3 linked regions of the Sus scrofa genome follow. The protein of the gene in region 2 interacts with the protein of the main gene of each other region in a biochemical or structural test. Links are inferred from orthologs where the notes say so. Each region holds a gene or a part of one and is shown on either strand. Other genes may lie near its edges.

Region 1 (11,393 bases), on a different chromosome or scaffold from region 2:
TGTGGCGTAGGCTGGCAGCTGTAGCTCCAATTTGACCCCTAGCCCGTGAACTTCCATATGCCAGACCTGCAGCCCTAGAAAAAAGGGGTGGGGGGGAGCATCCAAGATGTTCTTCAACAAGTAAAGGGATAAACAAACTGTGGTACAAATCTATCCAGCAATCAGAGGAAATGAGCTAAAAAGCCACAAAAAGACACAGAGGAGGAGTTCTCTATGGTGCAGCAATTTAAAAAAAAAAAGACATTGGCGTTCTGGTCATGGCTTAGTGGTCAACGAATCTGACTAGGAATCATGAGGTTGCAGGTTCGATCCCCGGCCTCGCTCAGTGGGTTAAGGATCTAGCGTTGCGATGAGCTGTGGTGTAGGTTGCAGACTCAGCTCAGATCTGGCACTGCTGTGGCTCTGGTGTAGGCTGGCAGCTACAGCTCTGACTAGACCCCTAGTCTGGGAACCTCCATATGCTGCAGGTACAGCCCTAAAAAGACCAAAAAAAAAAAAGAAAAAAAAAAAAAAAAGACATAGAGGAACCTTAAATGCATATTGCTGGGAGTTCCTGTCACGGCTCAGCGGTAATGAGCCCAACTAGTATCCAAGAGGACTCAGGTTTAATCCCTGGCCTCACTCAGTGAGCTAAATGATCTGGTGTTGCCATGAACTGTGGTATAGATCGCAGACTCAGCTTGGGATCCCGTGTTGCTGTAGCTCTGGCATAGGCCAGCAACAACAGCTCTGATTAAACCCCTAGCCTGGGAACCTCCATATGCCACATGACTAATGTGTCACATAAATGCAAAATGTTAATAAAAGGGGAAACTGGGGGGTGGGAGGTGGGTGGGAATTAAGTGGATAGATATGGAACTCTATCTATAAATCTAAAACTGTTCAATAACTCTTAATTTAAAAAAAAAAAAAATTGGGCACCCACAATCTCAAAGATATTGCTACTTTAAAACCACAGAAATCCTAGTAAAGTGGAAGAAAAAAACTAACAAAATCAAATCCGAATAAACCTAAAACAAATTTAAAGATTAACTTTAATCTCCTTGACTTGATCATATTTCTGCTCACTAGCATGTGCATCACACCTCTAGGAAACGGAGAAGAAATCCCAGCTGGGAAAGTGCTTGAGCACAGCTATGATGACAGCAATTTAGCCTGAAGAACTAAAATCTGGTGATCATCATGGACACTCAAGCACATACACAAAAATGAACCTAAAACATCTTCATATCATTTATTAATACCAACAGACAAATTTAAATGTATTTATAAATCTATCAAGATGGAGGTAATGTATGTTACTTTCACTCAGAGGCCCAAAAGTCCTCAATGCCCCATTTTCAGAGGTTAAAGAATTAGAATGTGTCAGGAGTTCCCATTGTGGCACGGGAGAAAAGAATCCGACTAGTATCCATGAGAATTCGGGTTCGATCCCTGGCCTCACTCAGTGGGTTAGGGATTCGGCATTGCCATGAGCTGCGGTATAGGTCAGCAGTTGTAGCTCTAATTCACTCCCTAGCCTGGTAACCTCCATATGCCATGAGTGTAGCCCTAAAAAAAAAAAAAAAAAAAAAAAAAAGATTTAGAATGTGTCAACTATAGAGATCAATTTGGTCCAGTGCTATTGTTTCTTGGAAAATTTATGTGGACTCTTGATGGAGACAATCAAACTATAGCATTTTGATAGGCTTACCCAGCACCTAGAGGTGTTGCACCAAGTTCTCTTTGATGGCAAGGGCAATGGCTATCTATTCACTCAGCTTCTCTGGCCAAAGCAAAATCCAAGAGAATATCCCTTTCCCAATATGTGCATGCCTCCATTGTGATGGGTGAGCAATTACCGAAGAACAATTCCCATCCCTGACATCCCAGGCCCTGCTATACCTACACTGCCTACTTGGAGCTTCTGTGTGAGAAACAGACTACAGTGGTATAAGGGCAGTTCATCTGTCTTCCTACATCACCAGAACATTTCTGCTGCACACAAAGCATGGTTCTCCTCTATCCAGAAGGCTCTCCCTTCAGGCCATTCCTAGTTCTACTTTATATTTTCTCAAAGATGCCTCGGTCTTTCCAGTCCATAACAGGTGTCCAACTACTGTAACCTGAAGAAGATATAGTCTTTTCCAGCTCAGTAAATCCAAAAGCCTATCCTCGGGATTCATTAAGATCTACACTGAAAAACAACATGTATATGCCCTATGAACTGTATGGTATCACTTAGACGAAAACTATAGCAAGAGGTAAGGTAAAACTCACTACTGAAAGAGTACGTTTAAGTGGACTCATCACTAAATTAAAAAATCCAGGAGTTCCTTCATGACTCAGTGGTTAACAAATCCAACTAGGAACCATGAGATTTCAGGTTCAATCCCTGGCCTCACTCAGTGGGTTAAGGATCTGGTGTTGCTGTAAGCTATGCTGTAGGTTGCAGACGCGGATTGGATCTGGCATTGCTGTGGCTCTGGCATAGGCCGGTGGCTACAGCTCTGATTAAACCCCTAGCCTGGGAATCTCCATATGCCATGGGTGCTGCCCTAGAAAAGGCAAAAAGACAAAAAAAAAAAAAAAAAAAAAAAAAATCCACAACAGAAGCTTCTCTTCTAGTTGCAATATCAGAATAGAAAAAAAAAAAGGTTTACTCTATATCTCTATAATAATTTTTTTTTAGCAACTTCCACCAATAAGTGGATTATTGTAAGCATTACTGACAAGAATGGTTTATTAAGCGAATGATGACAAAGATGCAAGAGGCTATCTAATGTTTAAACAGTTTGAAATAACAAATTACTTTTTTGGGGGGGCAAACCCGCATCATGCAGAAATTCTGTGGCTAGGGATTAAACCTTTGCCACAGCAGCATCCTAAGCCATAGCAGTGACAATTCCAAAACCTTCAACCCACCACAGAGGGCCAGGGATTGAACCTGCACCTCTGCAGCGGCCAGAGCCACTGCAGTTGGATTATTAACCCACAGTGTCACAGCAGGAACTTGAGGTGCTTTATTTTTGAAAAAAAATCTGATGAATTCAAAGCCACAAAATAAGCAGGGGTGAAGGAATAGGAATCTGAAACAGATGGCATCTCTCTAATTTTTTTCCCAAGTCCATCTTGAACACAATCCCAATAATGTCAAAACCCAATTTAGCTACAAAACATAAAATGGTAATTCTGAAGTAAATTCATTCTTTTTTTCCTCCCAGCTTCTCAAAGTTTCTATATTAGGCAGAAATGAGTAGAGACAAGTTAGATGTTAAATAGAGAAAAACTATCGTTCCAAAAATTCTAAAATTTTTTTCATGAAAATTTATTTCCACTTCTCTGAAGCCAATGAAGCAGTTTCTATCAAGACTGGTGATACTAAAATCTGTCTATGATAACAGCCTGGATACAATGATCATTTATCCTTATTAGAGACCAAATTATAGCTTCAAAAAGAAATATGCTCTGAAATAGAAACAAGCTCTGGAAGAATATTCATTCATTTGGTTTGAGTGAGGCACTATATGGCACTTTTTAAAAATTTATACAGTTAACTCACTCTTGATCTGGCAGCATGAATAAAGTTAACTGTACTTTGTTCATTATATATTCCAATATGATATGTAAACTTTTCCAGTCTTTCCTAAAGATTTCTGAGATCACCCAAGAGACAGGCATTAAAGGAAGGTTTAGTCATTTTTAGATTTCCGGACAAGCAAATTCCATAACTGACAACTGCAAAGATCAGTGGAATGGCCACATACTTTGCCTAAGTGGAAAAGGTCTTTGGGAAAACTATCATCTCTGACAGTTTCTACTATTACCTACATTTTAGATAGATATTTTTACAGCTGGTATCCTACCTCTCCTAACAAATGATTTATTAAAGCTTTATAAGAAGATGGGGAGGGGAAATGGGAGCTTCTGATGGCTTTGCCAAAGCAAGACAATACAGTCTCAACTTGAAGATTTGAAAGATGTTGAAAAATAATCCAGGAAAACACAATTCAACACTTATATATACTCTGAAGACTTTACAATATCAGAAAAGCCATTGAGAAAGTTGAATAATCTTACAAAAAAATCTACAACTCCAATAAAAACATATTTTCAACACTTTAAAAAATAGTATAAATATCCCATTAATAATTTTGACTATAGGAGTTCCCATCGCGGCTCAGTGGTTAATGAACCCGACTAGGATCCACAAGATCATGGGTTCAATCCCTGACCTCACTCAGTGGGTTGGATCCAGTGTTGTGGTGAGCTGTGGTGTAGGCCAGTTGCTACAGCTCAGATTCAAACCCTGGCCTGGGAACCTCCATATGCCGCAGGTGCGGCCCTAAAAAGACAAAATAATAATAATAATAATTTTTACTATATCCATCCATCTATCAATTTGACCAATATTTATTTGGTGCCTTTCATGTAGCTGCAGTGGGGGCTAAAATTTAAAATAGTATTTCTAACTTAAGGAACATACAATATAGCTGGAGAATTTTATTAAAAAAAAATAAAATTCAACACTATTTAAAATAGAGGGAAATGAAGAGGCAATATATTTGAAAATTTCTCTCAAAATTATGACACCTATGGAGTTCCCGTCGTGGCGCAGTGGTTAACGAATCCGACTAGGAACCATGAGGTTGCGGGTTCAGTCCCTGCCCTTGCTCAGTGGGTTAACGATCCGGCGTTGCCGTGAGCTGTGGTGCAGATTGCAGACGCCGCTCTGATCCCGCGTTGCTGTGGCTCTGGTGTAGGCCGGTCGGTGGCTACAGCTCCGATTGGACCCCTAGCCTGGGAATCTCCATATGCCGCGGGAGCCGCCCAAGACCAAGAAATAGCAAAAAGACCAAAAAAAAAAAAAATTATGAAACCTATAAACTTCTCTAAAAAGTGATACTGAATTAAAACTTTACACCAACTTTTTGCACAAAAATCTATTATCTTTTGAATATAAAGTACATTTAAAAATTTTAAATTACAAACTACATTACATTAAAAAGCAAACTAGCTGAAAATCTGACATTTAATAGGTTACATACAACTGTATCATTTTAAATCTACAAAACAAATGATATAAAAACTTCTGAGATAATTTCTATGTCATCACAAATACTTCAAAGGCAAAAATTCATTCCATTTTCATTTATTTCACAGAATATTATACATATAAAATTCTATAAGTTTTGCTAATAAGCTTAAATCTACTTAACATGAATCATACTACTTTTGTTGATTTTAATCGTAAAATTAAAAGTACTTTGTTTTATGCCTCAATTTTAATTCTCTATAAAGACATGTGATGTTAATTAAGATTTATATACACTGCTTTTTAAATGTTTTTCTTATCAACCCATGCCATACACATCACAAATCTGAGAAAAACCTTTGAAACATCATTGGTCGTTTCAGTTAATTCACATACTTTTTAAGAAACTCCTGATAATTTGATGCTGCTTATGATCAATTTCTAGAAGCCACAGAAAATCCTGTTGTACAAATATGTTTTGGAATATTATCCAGTTCTGTTCCTATCTCAAACCCTAATCCATAAAACTAAGCTACCTTAACCGTGTTAAGATTATTAATAATTTATCTTTCAATTGGAAGGTGCTTCCATTTAAAGTGGGCTGTTATTTAAATACATTACTCCCCCTTACAACACTGGTAAGTATTTTAACTCATATTACTTTGAAGAAATTGTATCTCTGGTAAGTTCTTGACTTGTCCAAGGTCAACAACTAGCTAGTGGCAGTCCAGGTTCAATCCCAGATTTACCTAACCTCAAAGCCAATACTTCCACTTGACCACAATTATCTCCTTAAAAGATTAGGAGACAGGCGCAAAAGCAGAGAATCTTGTCTCTCTGAATGTTCACGCCTCTATTCTGAGACATCTATAATCACACAGTACCTACAATTCGGTCACTAACTGAAGTATACGTGAAGAGAATCATTCTGCTTCATTTAAACTAGGGCAGGCTTACTGGCAGATAAGAAAGATGTTGGAAAAGGCTTGCCTCAACATGTTTCGCCTAGACCTCTATATCTATACGGTTCCCCTAGTGTATTTTTTACAAACGCGTATCTACCAAACAATGCTAAGCTAAATTAGCCCATAGTTTGGAGCTTTTCAGAACTGCATTTTCTAAAATAATTTACACCAGATTTAATATCGAGATGGGAGACTTGGCTAAATATGCCATTCTGGCACTTGCCAAACATTCTAAGTATCATTGAGGGGCAAGAGAACCAGTTCCACCCTCTCTCTTTCTTTTACGCTGTGATGCCTGCCCACTTGGGGGGCGGAGGCGGTACCTCTCCGGTAGGACACCGGGGCCAGAGAGCACTAAAGGAAGAAGTGGGGGAAGCGCACGGAAATTGGGAGGAGGGAGGTCTCCTTACCCACTCTTCTGCCCTAGCTCTGCCAAGGGCGGCTCCCCGCAGTGCCCAGCCAACTCACAACCCCCACAACACTCGAAGCCGGGCTCTGTCCCAGGGGGGTGCCCAAGGGAAGCAGTCATTTGAAGCAAGGGCTTGTCCCAGCCACCCCGCCAGGGTCAATGTTCTCCTTTTGGATGGAGAGGATGCTCCCCCTTTTAGAGCTAACCCTCCAGGTGGCAAACTCCCAGTCCGCAGCAGCTAAGTCTTCTGCTTTCAAGGGGCGCCTTCTCCGAAACCTCTACCCGGCCACTCGAAACTCTCCGCCAGCGGCGTGCCCTGGCCCTTGCATTCCGTCCTTAAAACCCTTTACAATCAAACTCGCCGGCCTGCGCCCCACCCAGGATCTCGGTGCTCCCCTCCCCGACTCGGAGAAGGGGGCCCCCACCAGCCGGCTTAGACACACACACAACACCCTCAGGCTAGAGCCTCCCGGATCCCATCGAAGCCGGAGCGAGTACCTCGTCTGGCCGTGTCCTGGGGCTCAGATGGGGTGAGCGCAGTTCCCTCCTGGAGGCGCGGAGTGCTTCTCTACCCACCAGCAGCGTTGGCTTCTCTTTCCTAGGAACTGGAGGGAGGAAAAGTGCGGGAGGGGAGGGGGGAAGGCGAGGAGCCGAGGGGCGGCAGAAGCCGAACCGGAACTACTAGCGCTGGCCCCACCCTCAGCCCGGCGCAAAGCACCCGGGCGCTCCCGATAGGACAAACTTAAAGCTGGCAGTGAGAAATGTACACCACCACTTCCGGGTCATCCTCGCTACCGCCCCTCCTTAGCAACCGCGTGGGGTTGCTAAGCGGAAGTGCCTTCAAAGACTGCCACCCCCACTTCTTCTGGGATTACTAGAACCGAGCTGCGTGCGTGTGCTCCTCTGTGGCAACATACCCTTACCTTCTACTCCTGCTCCTATCTTGGGTGGAGCACGGGCTCGCCTGCCAAACACAGAGAGCCCACTTTAGTTTTCTCCTTAGCTGTACTCGCACTATTAGCCCCAGTCATTATTTACTCCAGTTCCCTCCCGCCCCGAATCCCAAGTGGCTCCTCCTAAGGATCTCTCTGATCCCTCGTTTCAGGCGGTTTAGCAAGCGTCTCCCTCTTGTGGATATTCAGTTGTGTTTCAACTGGATTTTTTTAGGTAACCTCCAATGTTACGAAAGCTTTTTCAAGCACTTGGTTCTCCTGTGAGAGCCCCTGAAATCGAAATCGAAGGTGAGAAACTTCTGTCTTCACCTATCTTGTCTTTTGTAAAGATTGCACATGTTTAAGATATGAAAATAACCGAACTAAATGGAAGGAGAAAACAAAGATTCGCTGTAAGTAACGTGAGTAATCCTTAAGAGAAAAAACCGTGAGGAATGGCCAAAGGAAGCTGGTAGTCAAGCTTGTGGAGAAAGACATTTAATCCACCACTGAGAATAAATTCTCATTCCTATACTGTGGACAAGAAAAAAGTGTTAATAAGAGACCTGATTTATTCTTGTCATATATTCTAAACCTAATACTGACTATTAGCTTTTTCATATTAGAATGAGAAAGAACAAGGAATAATGAGGCCAGAAAATGAGAAGGAACCAGAAGAGATTATAGGATCATGGAAACAAGTCTATTAAAAAACTCTATTCAGGAAGTTCCTGTTGTGGCTTAGCAGTAACGTGCCTGACTAGTCCATGAGGATGCAGTCAGTAGATCCCTAAAAAAGTGGGTTAAGAATCTGGTGTTGCCATGCGCTGCAGTGTAGGTCACAGATGCGGCTTGGATCTGGCATTGCTGTGGCTGTGGTGTAAGCCAGCAGCTGCAGCTCTGATTCGACCCCTTGCTTGGGAACTTCCAAATGCCAAGGTGCAGCCCTAAAAAGAAAAAAAGTTAAAAAAACAAACAAAAAAAAAGGTCTATTCAGGAGTTCCTGTATGGCTCAGTGAGATAAGGATCTGGAGTCACCGAAGCAGTGGCTCCGGTTGCCGCTGTGGGGTGGGTTTGATCCCTGGCCCAGAAAATTTTGCATACCTCATGCATAGCCAAAAACAAAAATTCTATCCAAAAAGTTATCCCCCTCCTTTCTATTTTCTTTTTAGGAGTTCCAACCATGGCTCTTTGGTAACCAGCCTCACTAGTATCCATGGGGACACAGGTTCAATCCCTGGCCTTGCTCAGTGGGTTAAGGATCAGTGTTGCCAAGAGCTGTGGTGTAGGTCATAGATACAGCTTGGATCCTCCGTTGGTGTGCTGTGGTGTAGGCTGGTTGCTGCAGCTCCAATTCAACCCCTAGCCTGGAAACTTCCATATGCCTCGGGCTTAGCCCTAAAAAGACCAAAAAAACCTCGTTAATTTCTTTTTACATTTTTAAAATTAAAGTATTATTGATTTACAATGTTGTGCCAATATCTGTTATACAAGTGACCCGGTCGTACATATATATACATTACTTTTCTTATCTTCCATCATAATCTATCCCAAGAGATTGGATACCTTGCTTATTGATATTATTAAAACCAGAAATGATAGGTGTCAGTATAAAATTTAGTTTCTGCTCCAGAATTTGAAATTCCTTTGAAATATCTCATAAGATGGATAGGATGCACTCAATAATAATTTACTCAATTACCATATGAGCAATATTGAATAATTCTTAAATTTTATGTGCATAAACATCATTTTAAATTTAAATTTTTTGTTTTAATTGCTCTTTAACCATTTATTTTCATTTAGTTTGTGACAAGTGCAAATCAATTAGAAACACAATGTACAATCCGAAACAGATATAAAATGTTCAGATATGAAGCAAAAGGGTGTGTTCATTCACACACACAGAGATCTCATGTAGTTTAAGATCTGTTGGATCTACTACGTATCCAAGAATAAGTAATTCTTGCATGTGCACTTAAAAGTCAAGAATGGGGAGTTCCCGCCATGGCTCAGTGGTTAATGAATATGACTAGCAACCATGAGGATGCGGGTTCCATCCCTGGCCTTGCTCAGTGGGTTAAGGATCCAGCGTTGCCGTGAGCTGTGGTGTAGGTCACAGACATGGCTCAGATCCCATGTTGCTGTGGCTGCAGGATAGGCTGGCAGCTACAGCTCCGATTCAGCCCCTGGCCAGGGAACCTCTATATGCCTTGGGTGTGGCCCTGAAAAGACAAAAGACCAAAAAAAAAAAAAAAAATCCACATGTGCCTATTTTTTTTTTTTTTTTTTTTTTTTTTTTGTCTTTTGTCTTTGTTGTTGTTGTTGTTGCTATTTCTTGGGCTGCTCCCGCGGCATATGGAGGTTCCCAGGCTAGGGGTTGAATAGGAGCTGTAGCCACCGGCCTACGCCAGAGCCACAACAACGTGGGATCCGAGCCGCGTCTGCAACCTACACCACAGCTCACGGCAATGCTGGATCGTTAACCCACTGAGCAAGGGCAGGGACCGAACCCGCAACCTCATGGTTCCTAGTCAGATTCGTTAACCACTGTGCCACGACGGGAACTCCCACATGTACCTATTCTTATTGATCAAGTTTATATATATGTGTGTGTTTGTGTGTGTGTATTTACACAAAGAACACAAAAGAGTTGTGAATTTATTGCAGACAAGTTTCCAGTCTTCATTTACAAATACCTGATAACATTATTTTTGCCTCCTGATAGGAAGATTTATCAAATATGCCTTAAGAAAAAAATCAGTTTTTTGTATTTTGGCCACGACTGCAGCATGTGGAAGTTCCCAGGCCAGGAATCAAGCCCATGCCATTGCAGTGACCCAAGCCACAGCAAGGAGCTTAACCCATTGAGCTGCCATGGAACTCCCCGATCAATTTTGTGGTGGTAAAAATTATTTGACATATGCAGAAATAAAAATGGGTACTTTAATATTGGTGGAAGGCAATGCATTTCTTTTTTTTATTATTAAAGCATAGTGGACTCACAGTGTTATGCTAATATCTGCTGTACAGCAAAGTGACCCAGTTACCCACATACATACATTCTCAGGCACTTCTATATCTTTTGGAATCAAGTTAAGTGATCTAAGTTAGCTAAGTGAATCAAGTTAAGTGATCTAAGTTACCTAAGTGAACCTGGCACTATTGCTAGATGAGAATGTATGATAGAAATACCCATTCTTGACTTTTTTTTGGGGGGGGGTCTTTTTTGCCATTTCTTGGGCTGCTCCCGAAGCATATGGAGGTTCCCAGGCTAGGGGTCTAATCGGAGCTGTAGCCTCTGGCCTATCCCACAGCCACAGCAACTCGGGATCTGAGCCGGGTGTGTGACCTACACCACAGCTCACGGCAACGCCAGATCCTTAACCCACTGAGCAAGGCCAGGTATCAAACCCCCAACCTCATGGTTCCCAGTTGGATTCCTTAACCTCTAACTCCCCATTCTTGACTTTTAAGTGCACATGCAAGAATTACTTATGCTTGGATATGTAGTAGATTTCAAACCATCATTGCCCTGAAACATGTCAGTTACTATAGAAAGTCAAATGCAGTGTCAAATCCAAACCCCCAGAGCAAAGAGTTAAGTTCCCAAGAGAACAGTGGAAACTTAACAGTGTAAAACCTTATGGAGAATATATCAACATTAAACTAGGACTGCTGAAACAATACACAGAGGATTTATAGCAATACCTGGTGGCTCCTTCCAGTGTACATCTTATAGAATCACCAAAGCTATTCATACCACCTAATAATTTTATTGGCCTTCTAGATTTCATGAGCCAAGACAAAAACTGCATCTCCATTCCAAAGTTCATCCTTTTTCTCTAGATGAAGATGAAATTGTTCTTATTTGCAAGGTAGAGTTTTAGGTGTCCACATTTCCTTTTTTTTAGGGCCAAACCCGTGGCACATGGAGGTTCCCAGGCTAGGGGTCGAATCAGAACTGTAGCTGCCGGCCTACACCACAGCCACAGTAACCCAGGATCAAGCCGTGTCTGAGACCTACACAACAGCTCACAGCAATGACAGATCCTTAACCCACCGAGCGAGGC
Region 2 (10,845 bases):
GTGTGTTAAGGATCCAGCATGGCCGTGAGTTGTGGCGTAGGTCACAGACATGGCTCGGATCCCGCATTGCTGTGGCTGTGTTGTAGGCTGGCAGCTGTAGCTCCGATTTGACCCCTAGCCTGGGAACTTCCATACGCTGTCAGTACAGCCCTAAAAAGATTAAAAAAAAAAAATGTATGCATAAATAAATGAATGTTGACATGTGTAAATATACATCAACATTCATATTATATTATGGAACCGGCTGATCTGGAAACCCAACTTTCATGTTAAATATTATTTCTGAAGGAAAACATTCTGAGTTAAAAATAAGTGCCTATTCATGAAAAGATGCTTAATATTGCTAATTATTAAAGAAATGCAAATCGAAACTACAGTGAGGTACCATCTTCCACTGGTCAGAATAGTCAGCATTGGAGTTCCCATCGTAGCTTAGCACTTAAAGAATCTGACTAGCATCCATGAGGATGCAGGTTCAATCCCTGGCCTTGCTCAGTGGGTTAAGGATCTGGCGTTGCTGTGAACTGTGGTGTAGGTCACAGACACAACTCGGATCCTGCATGGCTGTGGTGTAGGCCAGCAGTTACAGCTTCAATTCAACCCCTAGCCTGGGAACCTCCGTATGCCTATGTGCGGCCCTAAAAAGCAAAAAAAAAAAAAAAAAGAAAGAATAGCCAGCGTTAAAAAGTCTACAGGAGTTCCCTTGTGATGCAGTTGGTTAAGGATACAGCATTGTCACTGCAGCAGCTCAGCTCACTGCTGTGGTATGGTTTGATCCCTGGACTGGGAACTTCTGCATGCCATAGGCATGGCCAAAAAGAAGGAAAAAAAGTATACAAATAACAAATGCTGGAGAGGTGTGTAAAAAAGGGACCCCTCCTACACCTTTGGTGAGAATGTAAACTGGTATAGCCACTATGGACAACAGTATGGAGGTTCCTCAAAAAATTCTAAATACAAGTTGCCATATAATCCTGCAATCCCACTCCTTTTCTCCAGGCACATATCTGGAGAAAACTCTAATTTGAAAAGATACACACACTCCAATGTTCACAGCAGAACTCCAAGGTTCACAGCAACAAGCCAAGATATGGAAGCAACCTAAATGTTCATTGACAGATGAATAGATAAAGAAGATGTAGTATATATACAATAGACTACTACTCAGCCATAAAAAGGAATGAAATATTGCCTTCTGTAGCAACACGACCTAGAGTTTATCATACTAAGTAAAGTAAGTTACAAAGATAAATACTATATGCTATCACTTACATGTGGGATCTAAAATATGACACAACCGAACTTATTTACGACAGAAACAGACTCACAGACATACAAAACAAACTCATGGTTGCCAAAGGGGAAAGGAGGAAGGGGGAATAAATTAGAAGTTTGGGATTAGCAGATATAAACTAATATACATAAAACAGACATTCAAGGTCCTTCTGAATGGCACAGAGAACTAAATTCAGTATCCTGTAATAAACTATAATGGAAAAGAATATGAAAAATAACATATATAACTGAATCACTTTGCTGTACCCCAGAACCTAACACAACATTGTAACCAACTATACTTCAATTGAAAAAAAAAAGTGCGTATTTATGTGCCAGGCACTGTGCTAGTTCCCTCTATAAGCCAACCAAACTCTCCAAGCCTTAGGAGTTCCCATCGTGGTTCAGCAGAAATGAATCTAACATCCATGAGGACACAGGTTCAATCCTGTAACTTCAGAGATCTGTCAACAAAGGACCTTGTTATAGGTTAAGTTGTGTCCTCCAGAAAGATAAGTCCCCATCCTAACCCTTGGTGTCTGTGAATGTGACCTTATTTGGAAGTAGGGTTTTTGCAGGTATAATCAAGTTAAGATGAGGTTGGCCCCATTCCAACATGACTGGTGTGTACTTATACGAAGAGAAGGAGTTCCCATTGTGGCTCAGTGGTTAACGAATCTGACTAGGAACCATGAGGTTGCAGATTCAATCCCTGGCCTCACTCAGTGGGTTATGGATCTGGTGTTGCTGTGAGCTGTGGTGTAGGTCACAGACGCGGCTCGGACCTGGCGTGGCTGTGGCTATGGCGTAGGCAGGTGGCTACAGCTCCAAATTAGACCCCTAGCCTGGGAACCTCCATATGCCGCAGGTGTGGTCCTAGAAAGGGCAAAAAGACTAAAATAAATAAATAAATAAAATAAAATATTTAAAAAAAAAAGAAGAAGAAGAAGAAGACAGGACTTCCTGTCGTGGCACAGCAGAAATGAATCCGACTAGGAACCATGAGGTTGTGGGTTCGATCCCTGGCCTTGCTCAGTGGGTTGAGGATCTGGCATTGCCATGAGCTGTGGTGTAGGTCGAAGATGCGGCTTGGATACTGTGTTGTTGTGGATGTGGCATAGGCCAGCAGCTGTAGCTCCAATTCATCCCCTAGCCTGGGAACTCGCATATGCTGCGGGTGCGGCCCTGAAAAGACAAAAGAAACCCCTGAAAACCTCCCCAAACCTCAATTTCTTCATTTGCAAAATAATACCTGGGGCTACGAAAATTAAGAAAGATAGCAAAAAAATCTGTCAGTATCTAATATAGTAGACACCCCAAAAAAAGTTTTCTTGGAGTTCCTGTATGGCTCAGTGAGTTAAGGATCCAGTGTTGTCACTGCTGAGGATCAGGTTGCTGCTATGATGCAGTTCAACCCCTGGCTTAGGGAAGTCCTACATGCTGTGGGAATGACAAAACAATTCTTTTCTTCCCTTTCCTGTTTCTTAGTCCAAGAATGTTTAGATAATTTCTGGTCCCACATAACAAAATTTCAGTGGCTAGTATAGAATGTACTCAAAAAAGTTTCTTTCCCATCTCCTAGTCTGAGACTGTTTACATAATTTCTTGTCCCATACAACAAAACTTTCCCTCCCTAATCTGGGCAACAGCTGGGCAACAGCTTATTCCCATGCTTCCTTGCTAACAGAGTTATGCCACACAACCCTTCCACCTCATTCCCAGCTCTGGTCAAACTGACTTACACATCCTCCCAATACGCACCCCACAGAGCTCTTTCTGTCCCTTCCAAGAATGTCCTTCTCTCCACTTACACAAAGTCCACCCATTCAATCAACAAAGACTCACTAAGCTTAATTTACACGCCAGACACTGACTGACCTAGTACCCACCAACCATATTCTATTTAATAAAGAAAAGACTTGATGTACATAATTTCACTAATAACAGAAACAGCAGCCACCATTTGAGTGTTTATTTATGCTCTTCGTTTATATGCACTATTTCAACAAATCTTCACTACTGCCCTGTGAACCAGATAGTGCTATTTCATTTTTTTTAAAAAGATGGCTTGGAGAGGTCAAACAGCATATTCAAGTTTAAATAGTGAGTAGAGAAGTCCAGATTCAAATCCCAATCTTGCTACAGAGCCTAAGCTCTTAATTATCATACCGCACCGCCTTGATGCCGAGGGAGCGCCCAATTTTACCTACAAGTCAGGACATTTACCCAATGTGGGTAGTATTTGAGTTCTCTGTTAAAGGATCATTCGTTCACTCATTCATTCAATAAACATGGTTGCCTACAATGTATCATCCATTTTGGAAGCACAGGGGATAGAGTAGAGAGCAAGCCAGAAGATCCCTACTCAAGGTATAATGGGAAAGGTAGTGCATCAGTAATTACACTCACTCACTCTTCAAGCCTTCCTTTAACCACCTATTATAAGAGGCTTACTCCTTCTCTGAACCCCCAACATACTTTATTCTTAATGTTCCTTTCAGCAAAGAATACGCTTCCCTTTTCTCTATGTTATTTAATTTTTTCCAATTATAGTGACATATTCAGGATAGATGTCACTTACCACTTTATCTTTTGTATTACTGTCATTTGCATACTTCTTATCTCCCCTGTTAGAGTGCAAGTAGCTTAAGTGTAGGATAAATGTCAGATTTCTCAAGCATGCCTTATAGCATCTTGCATGCAATGGATAGTTTAATATTTGTTGAATGAGTGAAAAAAAAAAAAAAGAAAAGAAATTCAGTTTTGCAGACAATTTGCTGAACCAAAGTGCTTCCAACTGTGACAAACTAAATAATGCTTTTACCAGTGTCATGCCATAACGCAATGTACCCTCCTTTGTACATTAACTATCAACAGGTTTCCATTTTAAACAAGGTTTAGAACATTCTGATACCCTGCCAAGTGTATCTACATGAGATTCTACCTGTGATTCATCTGTAGAATAAGACCATGTGTGGTTATTCGTTTCTCCCGTGTTCCTTATCCTCCACAGCGGCAAATAATAGAAAGCTGACAGAATAGATCACTCTAGAGAATCTCTCCACAATTCAGAGCATTACCTCTGTTGGTTTCAGGTTCTTCAAGTATCACAAAAGAATCTTTGTCAGCACCCAGCCGAGGTTTAATGAAAACATCTACTCCCAGCTGCTTAAGTCTATCCACAGTGAACCTCCTAATTTTGTCAGGTGGCACTACTGCTGCTGATTTAGTTTGCTGGCTGGGCTCTTCCACCTTCTCATCTGCTTCTTTTGTTTCTTTCAGGTCTTCTTCTCCCTCCAGGGCAGGAGGTTCAGGTGCCACGAGCCCTCCAGCCCGATACTTCTCACTGTCCTTGTCCCTAAGGAAGCTGCATTCTTGTGCCACCAAGATGTCTCCAGGTGAAGGTCTAGCATCACTTTGTTCCTGTTCCTTGGGAATTTCTAGCTTTTCACTTCTCATCAAATTCTTACTGCAAGATTCATCTGATCCAGTAGTGGTCTGTGGTTCGTTTGTAACTTCAAGGAGCTCGTTGGTTTCCATTTCATGTTCTGCACCTGTTGTCTGCTCGGAATCTTTGCTATGGTGGTCATTATTCAGCTCAGTTGTATTCACAGTATCGGTGACTTCTTTGTGATGGCTTGCCTGATACTTAGATGACCTAGAGGATGGGAAATAAGTCGGGGTTGAAAATTACCCTAAATCTGAAATATTCTCATCCTTCAGCACATAGTGAACCAGTTAACATTAGTTTTAAGGGAGGGGGGAATCTGAACTCTTTATGCAAAGTATTTGTCTCAAAACTGAACATTTATGAAAATTATAATCACAAGGAAAAAAGGTTCTTACTTCAGTAGTGCCATTGCATTTCCCTGGCAAGTGGGCCGGGGTTTACGTTTGTAGAATTCATGAATGGTTTTATTCTCAGGCATATGATATGGAAGATTAAGTGCAGACTCTATAAAATGGAACAAAACAAGCAAATACATATACTGTATATTCTGAAATGTCGCTTCATGTTCAGTTAACTAAACAATAGAACCAAAGCCATCACCAGAAATAGAAAATATTTCTGCCGTTACTAAAAACAGGATCTAGGAGTTCCCGTCGTGGCTCAGTGGTTAATGAATCCGACTAGGAACCATGGGGTTTCAGGATCGATCCCTGGCCTTGCTCAGTGGGTTAAGGATCCCGTGTTGCTGTGAGCTGTGGTGTAGGCCGCAGATGCAGCTTGGATCCTACGTTGCTGTGGCTGTGGCGTAGGCCGGTGGCTACAGCTCCAATTTGACCTCTAGCCTGGGAACCTCCATATGCTGCAGGAGTGTCCCTAGAAAAGGCAAAAAAAAGACCAAAAAAACCCCCCAAAAAACCAAGATCTAAATACAAAAGAATTCCCTGAAGACCAGTGGCTTTTAAAAACTAGTTGTGAAATCAAACTGATCCAGGAAGTCTTTTAAAAATACAGATTCTGGGGTCCCATTTCAAGCCTACCGAATCAGAATTTCTGTAGGGCATACAAATTTATAAATTTGAAAGGTTTGTATAAGGGATCCTGATGCAGACAAGCCAAAGACAACCATTTTTAAAAACTCTCTTCTGGGAGTTCCTGTAGTGGCTCAGTGGTTAACGAATCCAACTAGGAACCATGAGGTTGCGGGTTCGATCCCTGGCCTTGCTCAGTGGGTTAAGGATCCGGCGTTGCTGTGAGCTGTGCTGTAGGTTGTAGACGTGGCTCGCATCCCACGTTGCTGTGGCTCTGGTGTAGGCTGGCAGCTACAGCTCCTCTTTGACCCCTAGCCTGGGAACTTCCATATGCCACGGGAGTGGTCCAAGTAATGGCAAAAAATAAATAAATAAATAAATAAAAACTCTCTTCTGTTTTTGTTCTGTTTTGTTTTAGGGCTGCACCCGCAGCGTATTGGGGTTCCCAGGCTAGGGGTCGAATCAGAGCTGCAGCTGCTGGCCTATACCACAGCTCACGACAACACCAGATCCTTAACCAACTAAGCGAGGCCACAGATTGAACCCTCAACCTCATCGTTACAAGTAGGATTCATTAACCGCTGAGCCACAAAGGAAACTCCAAAAAACTCCTTTCTCATAACCACTACAATTCTGGAAATTTTCTCAGTTTATACTAATGATCCAGAGGTTTTAGAATAACAGCCATTCAACAATGTCAATTCTAAACATGCTATTATAATCCCATTCATATTAGGATTGTTTAAAAAAAGTAAAGTCCCCAACATCCAAGTTGAGCTTACAAAGAAATAATGTGATTTGCCTCAATGTTTACCATACTGGTTTATATTACCTCGAATAAGGCGCTGAGTCTCGCTATGCAATTTTTTTAATGCTTCCTTACTTAACTTGGCTGCCTTTCTTTCCTTAAAGAAAACAAAAGGTGAGACTATATTAATGCTATTATCCAGAAAGAGAGTCATCCTTAAGAGTCTACTTCCTCCAAGAAACAAGGATGGAGAGGGAAGAGTAAATACCTATAAGCTTGATATGATATAAACTTCAAGAGCTCACTTATTTGCAAGTCTCATAGAATTAATTCAACCCAACTCATATTTGTGTCCCGACTATGTACAAAGCAATATTCTGGGTATCAGGAAAATACGATGGACATGATGGAATTCCTGAGAAACCCACAATCTCCAGGGAAAAGAGCTCAACATGACAACTATATAGGGCTCTACTTCACCTTCCTTGTGGTGCCTTTTGGTAATCCACTTTCTTCTTCAAACGAATAGTCCCCACTCTCCAAAGACAATTCCTTTTTCTAAAAGAGAAGATTGCACATGGATAAACAGGGACAAAAATTAAACTGACACAAGAGGATGTTGCTTAGTCAAAGACTGCTTTTGCACTCCAACAGCCCATCATGCTACATTAATAATAAATCAATAATTACTAAGTATAGATGTTAGACACACAGTATCCTATAAAGCCTAGGAAACAAACTGGATGTCTTAAATGGAGCTTGGGCCCTCATTTCTTACACCCCTGCATTTAATCTTTCCCTCAGGAGGGAAAACGACCCCCAGGGAACTAAAGATAATCTTAGGAAGAACAATTATGCTTCCAAACATTCAGGACAATAATGCTTTGACAGATGCTTCTCTCTGATACCCTTTCTGAAACCCTATAGGTTCATTTCCTAGAGGCTACTAGATTATAAAATTCACATCTCTGCCCCATTATTTCTAACCTGCTTCCTACATAAAGTATCCTACTTTCCCCCTCAACATTCCTTTTAGGACAATGAAAATACTAGTTTCCAAACAAGTTAGCATGTCTACCGCTTGTACTGCATCATTCCAAAATTAACAGCTGAAAACATAAATCAATTGACACGTTTTTCTTCAGTTAAAAAAAAAAAATTAAGATTCCCACAGCAATTCAGAACAAAGCAAAGGTTAGAAGTAATGGGTTAGCTTTTATTGCAGTCATCTTTTACTTGCCTTGTGTTTTTTTACTTTGTTTTTCATAGCCACCCTTATTGATTCTAATGACTCTTCATCTTCCAGTGGAGAGTTACTTTCCTCCTCCAACCCAGTTTCAAAAAGGTCTTTATCCACAAGTAGACAGCCACTGTCATTAAATGGCTGTTTCATATCATCTTCCTAGACAATACATAAAGAAAAAGCAAGATCCAATCATTTTAAATCCAGTATTTTACAACATCATACAGCAATTTGCATCAGAACAAGAAAAAGCGCAGGCTTCATCAATAGACAAGTATATCGCATCCTACAACATTCTCACTGGTTCCTAATCCACAGTCATCTTTTGACGTTCACAATGTGATTTCATGCAATTGTCCAAAACTAATGTAAAAAACAGTACATGTCATGGCGCAGTGGTTAACGAATCCGACTAGGAACCATTAGGTTGCGGGCTCGATCCCTGGCCTGGCTCAGTGGGTTAAAGATCCGGCGTTGCCATGAGCTGTGGTGTAGGTTGCAGATGCGACTCGGATCCCCCGTTGCTGTGGCTCTGGCGCAGGCCGGTGGCTACAGCTCCGATTGGACCCCTAGCCTGGGAACCTCCATATGCCACGGGAGCGGCCCAAGAAATAGAAAAAAAAAAACAAAAACAAACAAACAAAAAAAAAATTTACTAAGAAACTAGTTTATAAAACTTGAAGATAGTTTTTCTAGTTAGCAAACAAGTCTTTTGACTGATGGATGCATGAAAAATCCTCCTGTGAAAGTTAATTTTCTTCAGATCAGAAGCAGCAATAAATAATTCTACATGTTCACAAAGAATATCAGAAACCCATTTACTTGGAAGTGTCCTTATGTACCCCAAATGGAGAATGAGACCAACAGGTATGAAATCGCAAACCTCATTACTTGCAATGCAAAACAATCAACTCAGAGCTATATACTGAGTGCAGAAACAATCTCAAGAACTAAAAACTTTTTATAAAATGTTAATCTGCCTCAGAAATAGCAAATTTTGGAGTTATCATTGTGGCTCATCAGGTTAAGAACCCAACTAGTATCCATGAAGATGTGGGTTCAATCCCAGCCCTCACTTAGTGGGTTAAGGATCTGGCATTGCCACAGCCTGTGGCATAGGTCACAGATGCAGCTGGGATCTGGCGTTGCTGTGGCTGTAGCGTAGGCTGGCAGCTGTAGCTCCAATTCAACCCCCAGCCTGGGAATTTCCCTATGCCGCAGGTGCAGCCCTGGAAAGAAAAAAGAAAAGAAAAAAAAAAAAAAAAAAGAAAAAAGAAACAGCAGATTCTTCTTTTAAATGTACCTCAGTTTTTGTTTCCTTCTTTTTCAGTCGCCTAATTTTCTCCAGCTTTCTCTCTTCTTTCTCAAGTCTTCGCTTTGATTTTACTTTTGCTTTTCGCCCAGATTCTTCTTTATCATATATGGGCTTTTTGGAACTCTTTCTGTCAACTGTAAATTCCAGAGAGTTTTCAGATTGGAGACCCAGCCCTACGCAAGGTGTCGTTTGGGTTTCAAGATTATCCTGATACAAAGACTCCTCGATGTCACTTTCATCACTGTCCATCAGAGTTTTGTACAGCTTTCTAACTTTTCTATTTTTCCTGGCATATAAGTTCTCTTTATCTTCCTCCTCAACGTTGTCATTGCTAGTTTTCTCTGGAGAGGCATTTGCATTCTCTCTTTCAGAATCACTGTCTTGTAGCACCTTCCTGCTTTTCAGTTTCTTACTCACAAATATCTCTTCATCTGAATCTGGAGGAAACAAAAAAATTTTTAGAGGTCTACTGTCACCTGGCCTTCTTCCTAGTCCCACTACTCCTTAAAAACATATCCAATTATCCAAGTGATACCTTGTGAAATTATGTAACTAACACTAAGAACTGACTGTAGCAAAACAAATCTAAAAATACGTTTTGAAAAAGATCTTCCCTGGAAAAATACCTCTTGCTGAGAAATGTAATTATGCATATTTACAACGTGTAAAGTTGTTCTGATCCTTCTGGCAGGTGTTAAAAATCCTTTTATTATAGAATGAATGCATTCAACCAGGCAATGTGGTAGTTTCTAGTCATTTAATACATTCAATAATATGATAGGAAAGGTTATTTTCAAAAGATTGCAAGCACTACTATTTTGCTTTTATAATAAATAAGTTAGGTATTATTAATTTAATAAATCAAGAGAAAAATGAAATTAATCCTGTCCACTTACAACCCAAGCTCCCACATTCTATTCCTGAAATATAAGTTCTGACTATTACAAACCTCCTTCACTCAAGGGCCCAATTGTTTCAGAGCTGCCCTGTCCACTGTCTAAAGGACTATCTGCTTCTTCTTGTGAAATGAGTTTTGAATCATTGATTTCTAGATGAACCTAGAAAATAAGAATATACTTTGCATTAACCAGCAGACGACAGAAAGCTCTAAGTACACAAAAAAACACAAATCATCTTGGGATCATCAGGCTGAAATAAGGAAAAGAAACAATTCAATGATCTAACAAAAGAATGACATTAAGAATTACTGTACAGGAGTTCACGTCGTGGCGCAGTGGTTAACGAATCCGACTAGGAACCATGAGGTTGTGGGTTCGGTCCCTGCCCTTGCTCAGTGGGTTAACGATCCGGCGTTGCGTGAGCTGTGGTGTAGGTTGCAGACGCGGCTCGAATCCCGCGTTGCTGTGGCTCTGGCGTAGGCCGGTGGCTACAGCTCCGATTCAACCCCTAGCCTGGGAATCTCCATATGCTGCGGGAGCGGCCCAAGAAATAGCAACAACAACAACAACAACAACAAAAAGACAAAAGACAAAAAAAAAAAAAAAAAAAAGAATTACTGTACAAAAAAAGCCGACAGAAATTCATTGTTGACCTTTGAAGGATACTATAGAACAAACTAGTTTGAGTAACAGCAAATAAATTTAAAGAATCAAGCATTTACTGTGTTTTTCTGTGTGAACTGTTTCTCAGTGTATCCAAATGACAAGTTAAATAACATCACAGAGAGGCAATTTGTTATGTGGGAAACTCTATAGTATGAACTGTATGGTTTCTTTAACAGTAAATTGCAAGAAAAAAGAGGGAGGGGGACTTACAAAGAGAGTT
Region 3 (10,845 bases), on a different chromosome or scaffold from region 2:
AAACCAACTGTGGCTCCGGCGACACTAGTACTTACTGCGAAGGATTCGCCACACACCTCAGACCCGTGTGATCCAAGGGTCAAGTGTGACTACAAAAGCCAGACGAACGAAGCTAAGACAGTGCTCTACGGCATTTCTGTAAACACATGAGAACAAGCATGACGACGGTAAATCCCTGAAAGGCCCTGCCTTTCCTGTGACGCCGGCCCTGGAATGTTTTTTGGTTAGATGTTGCATTTCCAGTTGTGGTCATCATTTACTTTACAAACGGGAAATCTCAGCTCTTCAACACCGTGTTTTAGTGTCTGATACACTTCCCGAACGTCTCATGGAGTTATTCAGCAGTGGAAGACGGTTTTCTCAATCAGGTAAGAATACAATTTCCAAGTTATCAACCGTGCTTCCTCTTCTGGCTTCGTTTCCCACGTCTGTGGGTGTGGTATTTCACCCTTACTACCTTCAGGTACCATTTTCTTATAATAGGTTCAAGAAAGGCACAAGCGGTAGGGGGACATTTTTTGGGAAGCCTCTCTTCTGTGGCTTTCTTCGCAACCGCCACCAAGTCCACCTGGTGGATCGGCCGTGTGCACTGGGGCCTGAGAGAGGGAGGACTCACCCTGCGGTGCCTCTTACTCGGAAGCAGTTCCTGGTTAAAATCACTTGTTTTCACAAACTAACAAACCTCAACCCTTTCTGCATATCATATTTTTCTGAATCATATTTTCCAGGAAAAGTTGGGGTGAGACAGACCTACGTGTCTCTAAAGTCTCTCAGATAATTCTGATATGCCTCCTGATGAAGTCCCACTGCACCCAGCTACGTCTGAGGTCTGCTGACTGAAAGTCTGTCCCAAAGGAGTGTTCCGTGTGGCGTGGCAGCAGGCAGACGCAATCACGCCAACCCGCTCTGGAAAGTGCGAACTGCAAAGCTGCATGGAGGAGAAACCCAAGGGGGCATTCGCGTTCAAATCCCTGGCCAGAGCGAGGCCGAGATAATTCGCAGGTACCCTACGAAACCTGCTGAATATCCAAGCCTTGACGGAGAAGAACCCATGTGACTGAGCAGCGGACCTTCCGCGTGCAATAAGTGCTGATGGCAGCACCCGCAGAGTGGAGGCATTCCGTCCTCAGCCACCCTAACAGGCTTCCGATCTCGTTCCCTCCCGGCGTCCTTACAACACTCTATTCAAATTACCTCTTTTCTTCTTAGCACAGACTAAGGTCGTTTCGGCAGGCCCAAGCACACACGATGCTTAATGCATGTAACAGTAAACAAACCCAAGCAAATGAAAAACATGTAAGACAGTCAAACCACAAGTACAAGGAGTTAAGATTTTATTCCTTACTCTTTTGAGATTATAAAGCTGAGCTTTAAACAACAGAGAAGCACAGTACTTTGCGCTTGCTAAGGTGAAAGGATCGCACCTACAGAAGGGAAGGGATAAATTACTTTCTTACACAATGCCGTTAATTTTCAAACAACTAAGAAACTTTCCAACATCAGAAAACTTTACGAACGCAGATGTTTATTTGTCAAGAGAATTTCACAATTTAAGTGATGTATAGGAGATATGCAAAAGGTATTTGTTTTGTTCTATAATGTAAAACTGCTTACCAAAAGTTTTAGCAGCCTGGATAGTTTCCCTGGATCCACGAATGGTCATAATTTGAGCCAGAGCAGTTAAATCATCACTTGCTTTATAAAATGGATACCGTCCACTAAGCAGAGAGAGGAATATGACACCTGCAGACCACATGTCAATTGCTGTAACAGAAAATCAGCTTTGAGAAAAATCCCCAACCCATAATTTTACTTCTGTATCAACAGTTCGCAACCTTTACTGTATCTTCAACCACCTTAAGAGCCTTAAAAATATTCTGATGCCCAATCCCCTCAAGAGGTTCTGATTCAACTGTTCTGGAGTAGTGCTTAAGCATCAGGGTTTTTTTTTTTTGTTTGTTTTTTTAATAGTTATTTCCCCAATACAATTTTTTTTCCTTACTGTACAGCATCAGTTTTTTTTTTTAAAAAGTTCCTCAGGTGCTTTTAATGTAATTTGTCTAACATCCTTAATACAAAATACACAGTCTTCTTTCTCGAGCAACGTGCTGGTCTGTTTAAAAGGGTGTTTCGTCACGCAGTAAATGCACATTTTATAACATCAAAACAAATCCAAAGTGGCTGTGTAGGAGAAGAGTCTGGATGCTGCTCAGGATCTACACACCACAGCAGTGAACGCGTTGCCCCGCAGTGCAACGTATGAACATCAGAGGCTTGCCTTCAGCCAGGTGCCAACCAACCCCACCTCTGCTGTGACAACGTCCGTCTCCAGAGTCCTGCCGGTTAGGACCAGCTCAGCCTCCCGTGAAGAAGCTCATTAAAGGAAACAAACAGCTTGGGGAAGCTCGTCTTCTGTCCTAACTGCTGAACTCCCTGCATCACCAGGTTACCTGCTCCACTCCCTTGGCCGCTGCCGCACACCTGCCGTTCCTGGCTCCCTGCGTACCTCTGCCCGCGCCTGCAGTGTTTCCTCCAAGCCTCAGGGGCTGAGGTGCCCCCAGAGTTCCAACGCCTCCCCTGTGGACTCTGCTGGACCGGCCCGTCCACAGCTTCCACTACCCCTCGCGTGGTAAGGAAGACACTCGGTGCCACCGGCGGCCCAGACGTCCCCGCGCTCCAGACGCACTATCACCCCGCTGGGCATCTCTGTCTGGATGTTCCACACGCTCTCAAACCAGCGATGCCCCCGTCCCCTTTTTCCTTCCCTGTACACCGGCTACTTCTTTTTTCTCCACGCCGGTTGCCCCTTAAAGGTCCCCAAGCTAGGAATCTGGTAAACATTCTGGAGGCCTTTTCTCTGCCACCCAAATCCCACATCCAGTTATCCGCCAAGCTCTGCCTGTCCCGTCTTCACTTCGGTTCACTCCTCCCGCTCCCGCCGCGTCCGGGCCTCCATCGTCTCCCCGGGGCCGAGCCCTCTCTGCACACCTGCCGAAGGACCCTCCAGAAGACCGTCAGCTCCGGCGCTCTCCCCCTTTCCCGAACCTGCAGGATGTGGTCCGAGCCACACGACACCCGAACCCTGACCTTCGCCACCTCTCTCCCCGTTCATGTGTCACCACTCTGACTTCCCACACAGTCTGGCAACACGAAGCTTGGACGGCTTCCCGCGTGACCGCGCTATCTTGGGTTCCCCTGCTCGTGTGACCCTCCTGTTCTAATCTACATTCTCTTCCCAGGCGTTCCCTCTCCCGTGAGCTTCCTTCCATGACCCCTCAGATGAGAGGAGTCAGAGACCCTAAAACACTCTGCATACTGAACAGACTGCTTCATAATCACCGGAGCGAGTGTCTGACTACAGCGAAAGCAGATCCTTTTCTGTCACCCGCAAAGCACAGAAGGAGCATCTGCCAAACGAATCCACTTCCGTCAAGTCCATAACCCACGTGAAGACGCAACGCCTCAAGAAGGTGTCCTCTGGGATCCTGATCCGTGACGACTCTTTCCGGTTAGAGTTTTTTCTCTTTTGCAAATCTCCGCAATGCTATCACACTGTCTTCACAACCAAAAAATTTTAATCAAACACACAATCATATGCGTACCACAGAAGACGTCTGAGGTACGAGGCAAACATAAGACGTTGCAAGACTGAAGCTGGCCAAGACTGCTAAGCCCAAGTCCCCACAAAGGTGATGTTAGAATTATTCCTGATAAAATCACCTTGTAGAAAGATAAGCAAAACCTAATCTACAGAGGAAAAAAAAAACAACCCAAAGCAACACTCGGGTTAGAAGCTTTCATACACAGCACCAGGTCAAAAACGGGACTACGCTGAAGTGCCAGGATCACCTCCAGACCTTAGGGAGAAGCAGGACAGCTCCGACTTAGTCCTAACTAGACAGCAATCCTAAGATACACCCGTGGAAACCAGCTGAACTGGGTTCTGTGTTTCCAACGTGACCTACCTGTGGTCTGATTGGGGCACTTGGTCAAGACCTCTGGTGCTCTGAAGCCTGGTGTACCTGCCCGAGGTGCCACCTGCTGCCGCCTAATGATGATGAAAGGAGATGTTTCTAGTTACGTTAAAGTTTAATTACGTAAGAACAAAAAATAACACTTAACCCATTTACTTCACAGTCAAGTAGTATCTATGCAAATAAAAGTTACTAGAAGGCAAATGATAATCCAGTGTGATGGAAATCCTAGATTTTGCTTCTATGGGTCCCTTCCCCTCCCACTAGTTCCCAGGTCTTGCTCCAGACAGGTTTTAAGGTAACATCCAGGCATAAGAAGAGGTAGTAGATGATGACAGCCAAAACAGAAAAACAGAACACATCAGGAACGCTGAGGTATAAAAACCTATTTCTGGAGTTCCCATTGTGGCACAGCGAAAATGAATCCGACTAGGAACCACGAGGTTGTGGGTCTGACCCCGGCCTTGCTCAGTGGGTTAAGGATCCGGTGTTGACATGAGCTATGGTGTAGGTCACACACAGACGTGGCTCGGATCTGGTACTGCTGTGGTGTAGGCCGGCAGCAACAGCTCGGATTCGACCCCTAGCCTGGGAACCTCCATATGCCGCGGGTGAGGCCCTTAAAAGGACCAAAAAAAAAATGTATTTCCATTTTGAGGAATTACTTACTGAGCTATCTGTTCACATATGTACTAGAGTTAATCAGAAAAGCTCATGAAAGCTTAAGAAAGTCTTGAAGGGAAGAAAAGAATTTATGTGGCAAAGAACTGGAGGTGGGAGTGTGAGAAAGGTTCTATTATTTGGTTCAGGTTATTCTACGTCGCCAGGAATAAAGAAAACAAGATGACATCACCAAGTAAAAGAGGCCACTCTCAAGTTTCTGAAGAGCTCTTCCTACTTGCATGCAAAGGCAAACGTGCTCTCCCGAGCATGTGTGTCAAGGGTTGTCACCTGCACGTCCAGGTACCGCGCTGCACCAGGGCCCTCGGTTCTCAGAACTGCACTGTTCCCTTTTACTCACTCAAATCAACCGCCCACCAGAATCAGCAGGCTCATCGGGCAGCGTGCAGCACCATCAAAACATATTACCTTGAAAGGCAAATACTGCAAACTTTATCTGTTGCATAACAGTCACAGGTCAGGCTGGCTGGGCAAGAACTGGCAGTTTTCCTCATCACACCACTATTCACAACTTTTGTAGAAATAGCCTTCTTTTTTGTTGCTAATTTTCTAGATAGCAAATCCACAGTCTTTGACTGCTTCATAAGCTGTAAGAGAAAAGTCATATTCCCTGTTTTCACGGCATCTAATGATGCCTCAAATGCTACGATGGCAAAAAGCAACAGGGGAAGCATAACTTTGAGCTGCTAAATGTGCTGTTGGATTGTAAATAAACAGATGTCTATTAAAATTGAAGGTCTCTAGTTCTTTGTGTTGAATAAACATTAAAATCTACTAATTATTCCTACTTCGGGGAATATTAAATTATACTTTATTAGAACTTTTCCTTGAAATGTTACTTAAGTATGAAACATTGACGTTTTAGTGTCTAACTCCATTTCAGAGCTGTAAACTGCGCAATTACAGCGGCTGAATCCAGAGTTTTAATTTGCTGCTCATGCTATCTAGCTGCTACAGGATATCATCAATCAGTTTAAAACCACTTAACACTGGCGACAACTCTGTAAACGCTACAAACATCTTTACGCTATCAACTGCATGTCAGAAACGCATTAGTTGTTGGGAGTCACATCCCAGCCAATGAGAGAAAAGGCCACAATGCTCTGAATGTTCCTGTTCCCTGAGAGAAAGAGCAGCAACCGTCAGCTCATCAAAAAATGATGAAAAATTCCATCGGAAAGGTTCAGAAAAAACTGGAGAAAACGGAAGTGTTGACAAGATGCTCCAAGCAATAATACCTTCTGCCAAAGCAAAACTCTTAAAAAAAAGGACCGCTAATAAAAGCTCATCTGGCCGTTCCCTAAAAGTCTCCCCCGGGTACGACTGACTGAAGGGTGCACGATTAAGCTACGTTACTTACTTTCACTGCAGGGCTCTCATGTGACACGGAGCTGTGTATATTGAAATTTCTTTCTCCAAAAACAGAGCGCTGGACAGAAAGGCCTACAGATCCTTCCTACGATACCAACAAAAACAAGGAGAATAAGGATTACATCTGTAACACTTTCTGCCAGCTGCACTCTGCCACAGTTTTGAAAGAGTTAAGTGACATAAAACAAAAACAGCTGCATCCAAGTCATTCTCAGGCACCAAAACACTTCTGTGAAAAGAGAAGACAGTCTAGACAGCACCCTTCACCCCCCATGCAATGTTATCATAGCCCACAAATACACAGAGCCACCTGCACAGCTGTTAGGTTTTGCTGCGCTGCTAAAACGGAGATGGACACTTCAGGGTTGTCCCCACCAACTAATGCTTTCTTTTAAAAAGGATAATTGCTATAAACTCGATAACAGGCAGGGAAAATTTATTTTCTATTTTTGTTATATAACGCAACTGTACTGACAAAGCCATTATGCACCTACCAAGTGCAGATTTCAGTTTTGAAATCCTAAAACCCTCCCTTATAAATCTTAGTGAAATCTAATCAATTGAATATCTAACCAATGTAAAAAACATTTTTAGCTGCAAGCATTATCCCGGAATAATAACGCTGTTGGATGGAGTACATTTCTAAAACCATCCGAGCCCTTAAGAAGCAAAAGAGGTACCTTTCCATCTTGTCCTTGTTTAATCTGAATCTGCGCATGTGTGTAGGGCCTCTTGACAGAGGTTTTTGTGGTAGGCTGCGGATCCAGCTCCTTAGGTGCTGCTGGGCCACTCAGTGAAATTTTGCTTCCGGTGATTACATAGGATTTATTTTGTGAACAGCTTTCCTGCTGAGCTTCAGACTGGACAAATTTGAGAAGCTCTATTTTCGTATCATGGGTTCCTTGGGCCAAACCAAAGTCTACCAAGGCATACCTAGGAAACAAAAGCATTTTTACTTCTCTGTGACAGTTAAAGCTTGGTAACATCATAATACAAACCATATTCACACAGAAACTGTAATTCTTCTGAAGATAAATTAAGGGTTTATAAAATCCTTAAAAAAAGAAAAGTTAAGATTTACAGGCAAGGTAAGGATTTAATAGCTAACTACTGAAACTTAAGGAAAGATGTAACCCCTACACACAAAAGCATCTTTTGTCCCCTCTGTCCACTGGGTTGTGCAGACAAGGAATGCAGGATGTGAACGCAATACTTTGTTCTCTGACAGTGGAAAGAGGTGGCATCATTGCAGACAACTTGTTTTATTTTTGTTTGTTTGGCCACGCCCATGGCATATGCTGAACTTCCTGAGCCAGGGACTGAACGTGCACCCCGGCAGTGGCCCAAACTGTTGCAGTGACAACGCTGGGTCCTTAACCCACTGTGCCACAGGAGAACTCCAGATAATTTTTTTTTTTTTCTTTTTAGGGCCACACCTGCGGCATATGGAAGTTCCCAGGCTAGGGGTCTAATTGAAGCTGCAGCTGCTGGCCTACACCACAGCCATGGCAACGTGGGATCCAAACCCTACATGCAAACCATACCCCAGCTTGTTGGCAATGCTGGGTCCCTAGCCCACTGTGCGAGGCCAGGAACCAAACCCTCATCCTCATGGATATACTTGGGTTCTTAGCCCATTAGGAACTTCAAGATAACTTTTAATTAACAAGTTTAAAAGAAAAATAAATTAAAATCAGTTTAAAAACCTGATTTCATTAAAGAAAATTGGGGAGTTCCTGTCGTGGCGCAGCAGAAACAAATCCGACAAGGAACCATGAGGTTACGAGTTTGACCCCTGGCCTCGCTCAGTGGGTTAAGGATCTGGCATTGCCGTGAGCTGTGGTGTAGATCACAGACGCAGCTCGAATCTGGCATTACTGTGGCTCTGGTGTAGGCCAGCAGCCACAGCTCTGATTAGACCCCTAGCCTGGGAACCTCCATGTGCCATAGGTGCGGCCTTAAAAAAGACAAAAAAAAAAAAAATTAAATTAAAGAAAATTTAAGTCAGGAGTATAGTATAAAAGCCCAAGAAAAGAAGTTATCGTTCCATTTTCCTTACTATATTCAAAACAACCCACTGTGTAAACAGCAGTATTTAAGTTTCCCACTTACAGTGCCTCTATGTATATAATCAGCATAAAAAGTATACAAAACCCCAAAACTTCAATGTTGAAGCAGGAACTCGGCTATCATGTGGTACAATCCTCTTATTTACTAAGAAAAGAAAAATGAGGCATAGAGATAAAGGCATAAGGTAAAAAACCAAAGACCCCAAAAAACCTAGACTCCTTCTGAGTCTCTTTTACTAAGGGCAATTTCCACTGAGCCACGGTCCATCTAGTGATGCAAGCTGTTTCACTAATTATCTTCTCCTGAGTGTATTTCCCTCCCCAATCATAATGCCAAGTGGCAAGCGAAACCAACCTGCGCACGGCTGCTGCGGTAAGGCCCACGTCTAAGAGTTGGACCCCACAGCCTAAGTTCACTCAAGTATAAACAGCTTCTGATTCCTTTCCATACTTACTTTTTCAGGCGCCTATTATATAAAAAATTGCTGGGCTTAACGTCACGGTGAACAATCCCAAACTGATGAATGCGTTTCAAAGCTCTGAACAGATTAAACATATATTCCCGTACTTCTTGAAAAGAAAGAGAATTCAAAATGTCCTAAAATACAGTGATGAATAAGGTGGTAAGATTACTTTTAATCAAATACGTTGTTAATAAAAATTCAAAAACGATTAAAACCTACCAAGAAGGACTCATGCTCCAGATAGGGCATAGCAATAACCACGTGATCATTTTTCCTAAAACAGTATTTAACTCCCATGACGTTGTCTTGCCCCCTAGTGGAAAAACGCAAGAACTTTAGCAGAAAGGTCAAATGAACTGAAACTCTAAGCTCAGTGTTTTAACAAATACAACTGCAGCAATGCATAAATAATGCTAGAAAACTAACGCAAAACCATCACCACACAGGAGAGTATACACATTAAGTGACTTATACAAGATAAAGGGTTTTTTTGAAACAAAGACAACACCAGTTATGAAGTTATAATTCAAAACCAAGACAATTACACTTTTAATTGGGAAAGTGGCAGAATGAGAAGGAAAACATGAAGAATGAAAATGAGTAAGACTTCACAGCAGATAAGATGGTAGAGGTAATCCATAAATCAGTTAAAAATTAGTAATTGGTAACATTTACTGAACATTCACTACAAACCAAGTTCTGATCTTCACATCTGTCAAAAGACTCCCTTAACCTTCACAACAACGCTCCGAGGATGGTGCTACGAGTGCTCTCCCTCGCCTACAGATACTGAAGTCGAGGCACAGGGAAGTGAAGGAACTTCCCGAGATAACTAAGCTAGCAGGTCACGGAGCCAGGATTTGAGTCCAGGCAGTGTGCTCCAGATCTACACTCTCAACCGCGGTCCTCCTCTGCCTTGGAGAAATGAGAAAACGGGGCAAAGCGGTTCCCATGGTTCTGCACCTGCGTGAGTAAAACGACACGGATACCAGCAAAACACGCCGCGCAGACTCGAAAAGAAACACCGGAACCCAAAACCTCGTCACTCTGATAAAGATGCCTCGATACAAGATTCTATCTTAAGTGAGAAGCCAAGTGGGAGTGAGCGACAGAAACCTAAAGTGATTCAGAGAGAAGAGAAAACTGAGCCCTGGAAAAGTCTCGAGTCCGAGGCCGGATGGGGGTGTCACCCAAGGGAGCTGCCGTGAAGGACGGGGTGGTCAGCCTGGGGCCCAAGAACAAGGACTGAGGGAAGGCTTCTGGTCCGGCCAAGAGGAATTAGCGAATTTTCAGAGGGCAGTTTAAGCGGAAAGCAAGAGGCCAAACAGGATTGAAGGAGGGAAAGCGGACAGACGAGAAACAGCACAGAAAGACGCCTGCTGTGTAGCACAGGGAACTCTATCTGGTCACTCGTGATGGCACACGATGGAGGACAATGCGAGAAAAAGAAGGCATACGTGTGTATATACGTATATCCATCCCTTTGCTATACAGCAGAAATCGGCAGAACGCGGGAATAAACTACAACAGAAAAAATAAAAATCTTAAAAAAACCATAAAGACAATTTTCCTGAAATATCTGGCAAAGAAAAGAATAAAAACCAGTGTGGGAGCTAGAAAGGAAGCAAGATCAGGTAGATTTGTTTCTTTTTTTAGCATGCACATTTTTGAAGAAGAAGGCAAGGAAAACTGGTCAAGGGAGTTATTTCGAGTGTGTGGGGGAGGAAGAAGCTTCTTCAGGGGACGAGAGGCTGTCATCAGGCCTCAGAGCGGCCGCCTCATTCTCTCGCCTTCCGTCATACACAGAGAGGGCAAACTGAAAGCAGGTGTGTTCACTCCTCCGGGCGCTGTTTAGTGGGCACCACCCTCCAGACACGATGCTGGGCTTTCAGGATGCGACGGGGAAGGGACCGAACATCCCTGCCCTCCTGGACTTTCCTGTCTGGTGGACGATGAGGACAACAAACAAGGGAACAGTAACGACAAATTACGACAAGGGCTTTGAAAGGGATCCAAAGGGCTCTGACAAGAAGGTGTTCGGAGACGACCTCTTTGAAGTGGTACCGTTCCTGCTCAGGGTTCCTGCTCAGGGCCGAAGAGGAGTCGGCACGCAAAGCCCGGGAGGGAGCGGCCCCGACGGGGAGACAGCACCTGCAGGGCCCCGAGGTGAGGGCGCTCCTGGATAAATCTGCGGAGCTGGAGACCCCGGAGCACAGCGAGGGGGCGCGAAGACTGGCAGGAGATGAAGTTGGCTTTGTTCTTTCCGGAGAACATTGGGAAACCACT

The links.
Region 1: of the proteins of CLSPN (region 2) and CSNK1G1, one has a biochemical effect on the other in vitro, tested with the Homo sapiens proteins (2 studies listed by BioGRID). The link is inferred for Sus scrofa from reciprocal best matches to the Homo sapiens genes CLSPN and CSNK1G1.
Region 3: of the proteins of CLSPN (region 2) and CDC7, one has a biochemical effect on the other in vitro, tested with the Homo sapiens proteins (3 studies listed by BioGRID, with this or other methods). The link is inferred for Sus scrofa from reciprocal best matches to the Homo sapiens genes CLSPN and CDC7.

The regions. Positions count from the first base shown.
Region 1 is NC_010443.5:107,685,743-107,697,135, reverse strand, and holds the start of CSNK1G1 (casein kinase I), read right to left. Parts: upstream 7,088-11,393; 5' UTR 6,887-7,087; intron 1-6,886.
Region 2 is NC_010448.4:91,928,495-91,939,339, forward strand, and holds part of CLSPN (claspin), read right to left. Parts: intron 10,119-10,845; coding exon 10,010-10,118; intron 9,498-10,009; coding exon 9,049-9,497; intron 7,905-9,048; coding exon 7,743-7,904; intron 7,061-7,742; coding exon 6,983-7,060; intron 6,660-6,982; coding exon 6,587-6,659; intron 5,231-6,586; coding exon 5,122-5,230; intron 4,934-5,121; coding exon 4,356-4,933; intron 1-4,355.
Region 3 is NC_010446.5:125,437,490-125,448,334, forward strand, and holds part of CDC7 (cell division cycle 7-related protein kinase), read right to left. Parts: intron 8,873-10,845; coding exon 8,779-8,872; intron 8,694-8,778; coding exon 8,551-8,693; intron 6,960-8,550; coding exon 6,707-6,959; intron 6,112-6,706; coding exon 6,016-6,111; intron 5,243-6,015; coding exon 5,064-5,242; intron 4,049-5,063; coding exon 3,966-4,048; intron 1,765-3,965; coding exon 1,615-1,764; coding exon of another isoform or gene 1,544-1,614; exon of another isoform or gene 217-1,543; intron 1-216. UniProt on the Homo sapiens protein: Kinase involved in initiation of DNA replication. Phosphorylates critical substrates that regulate the G1/S phase transition and initiation of DNA replication, such as MCM proteins and CLASPIN.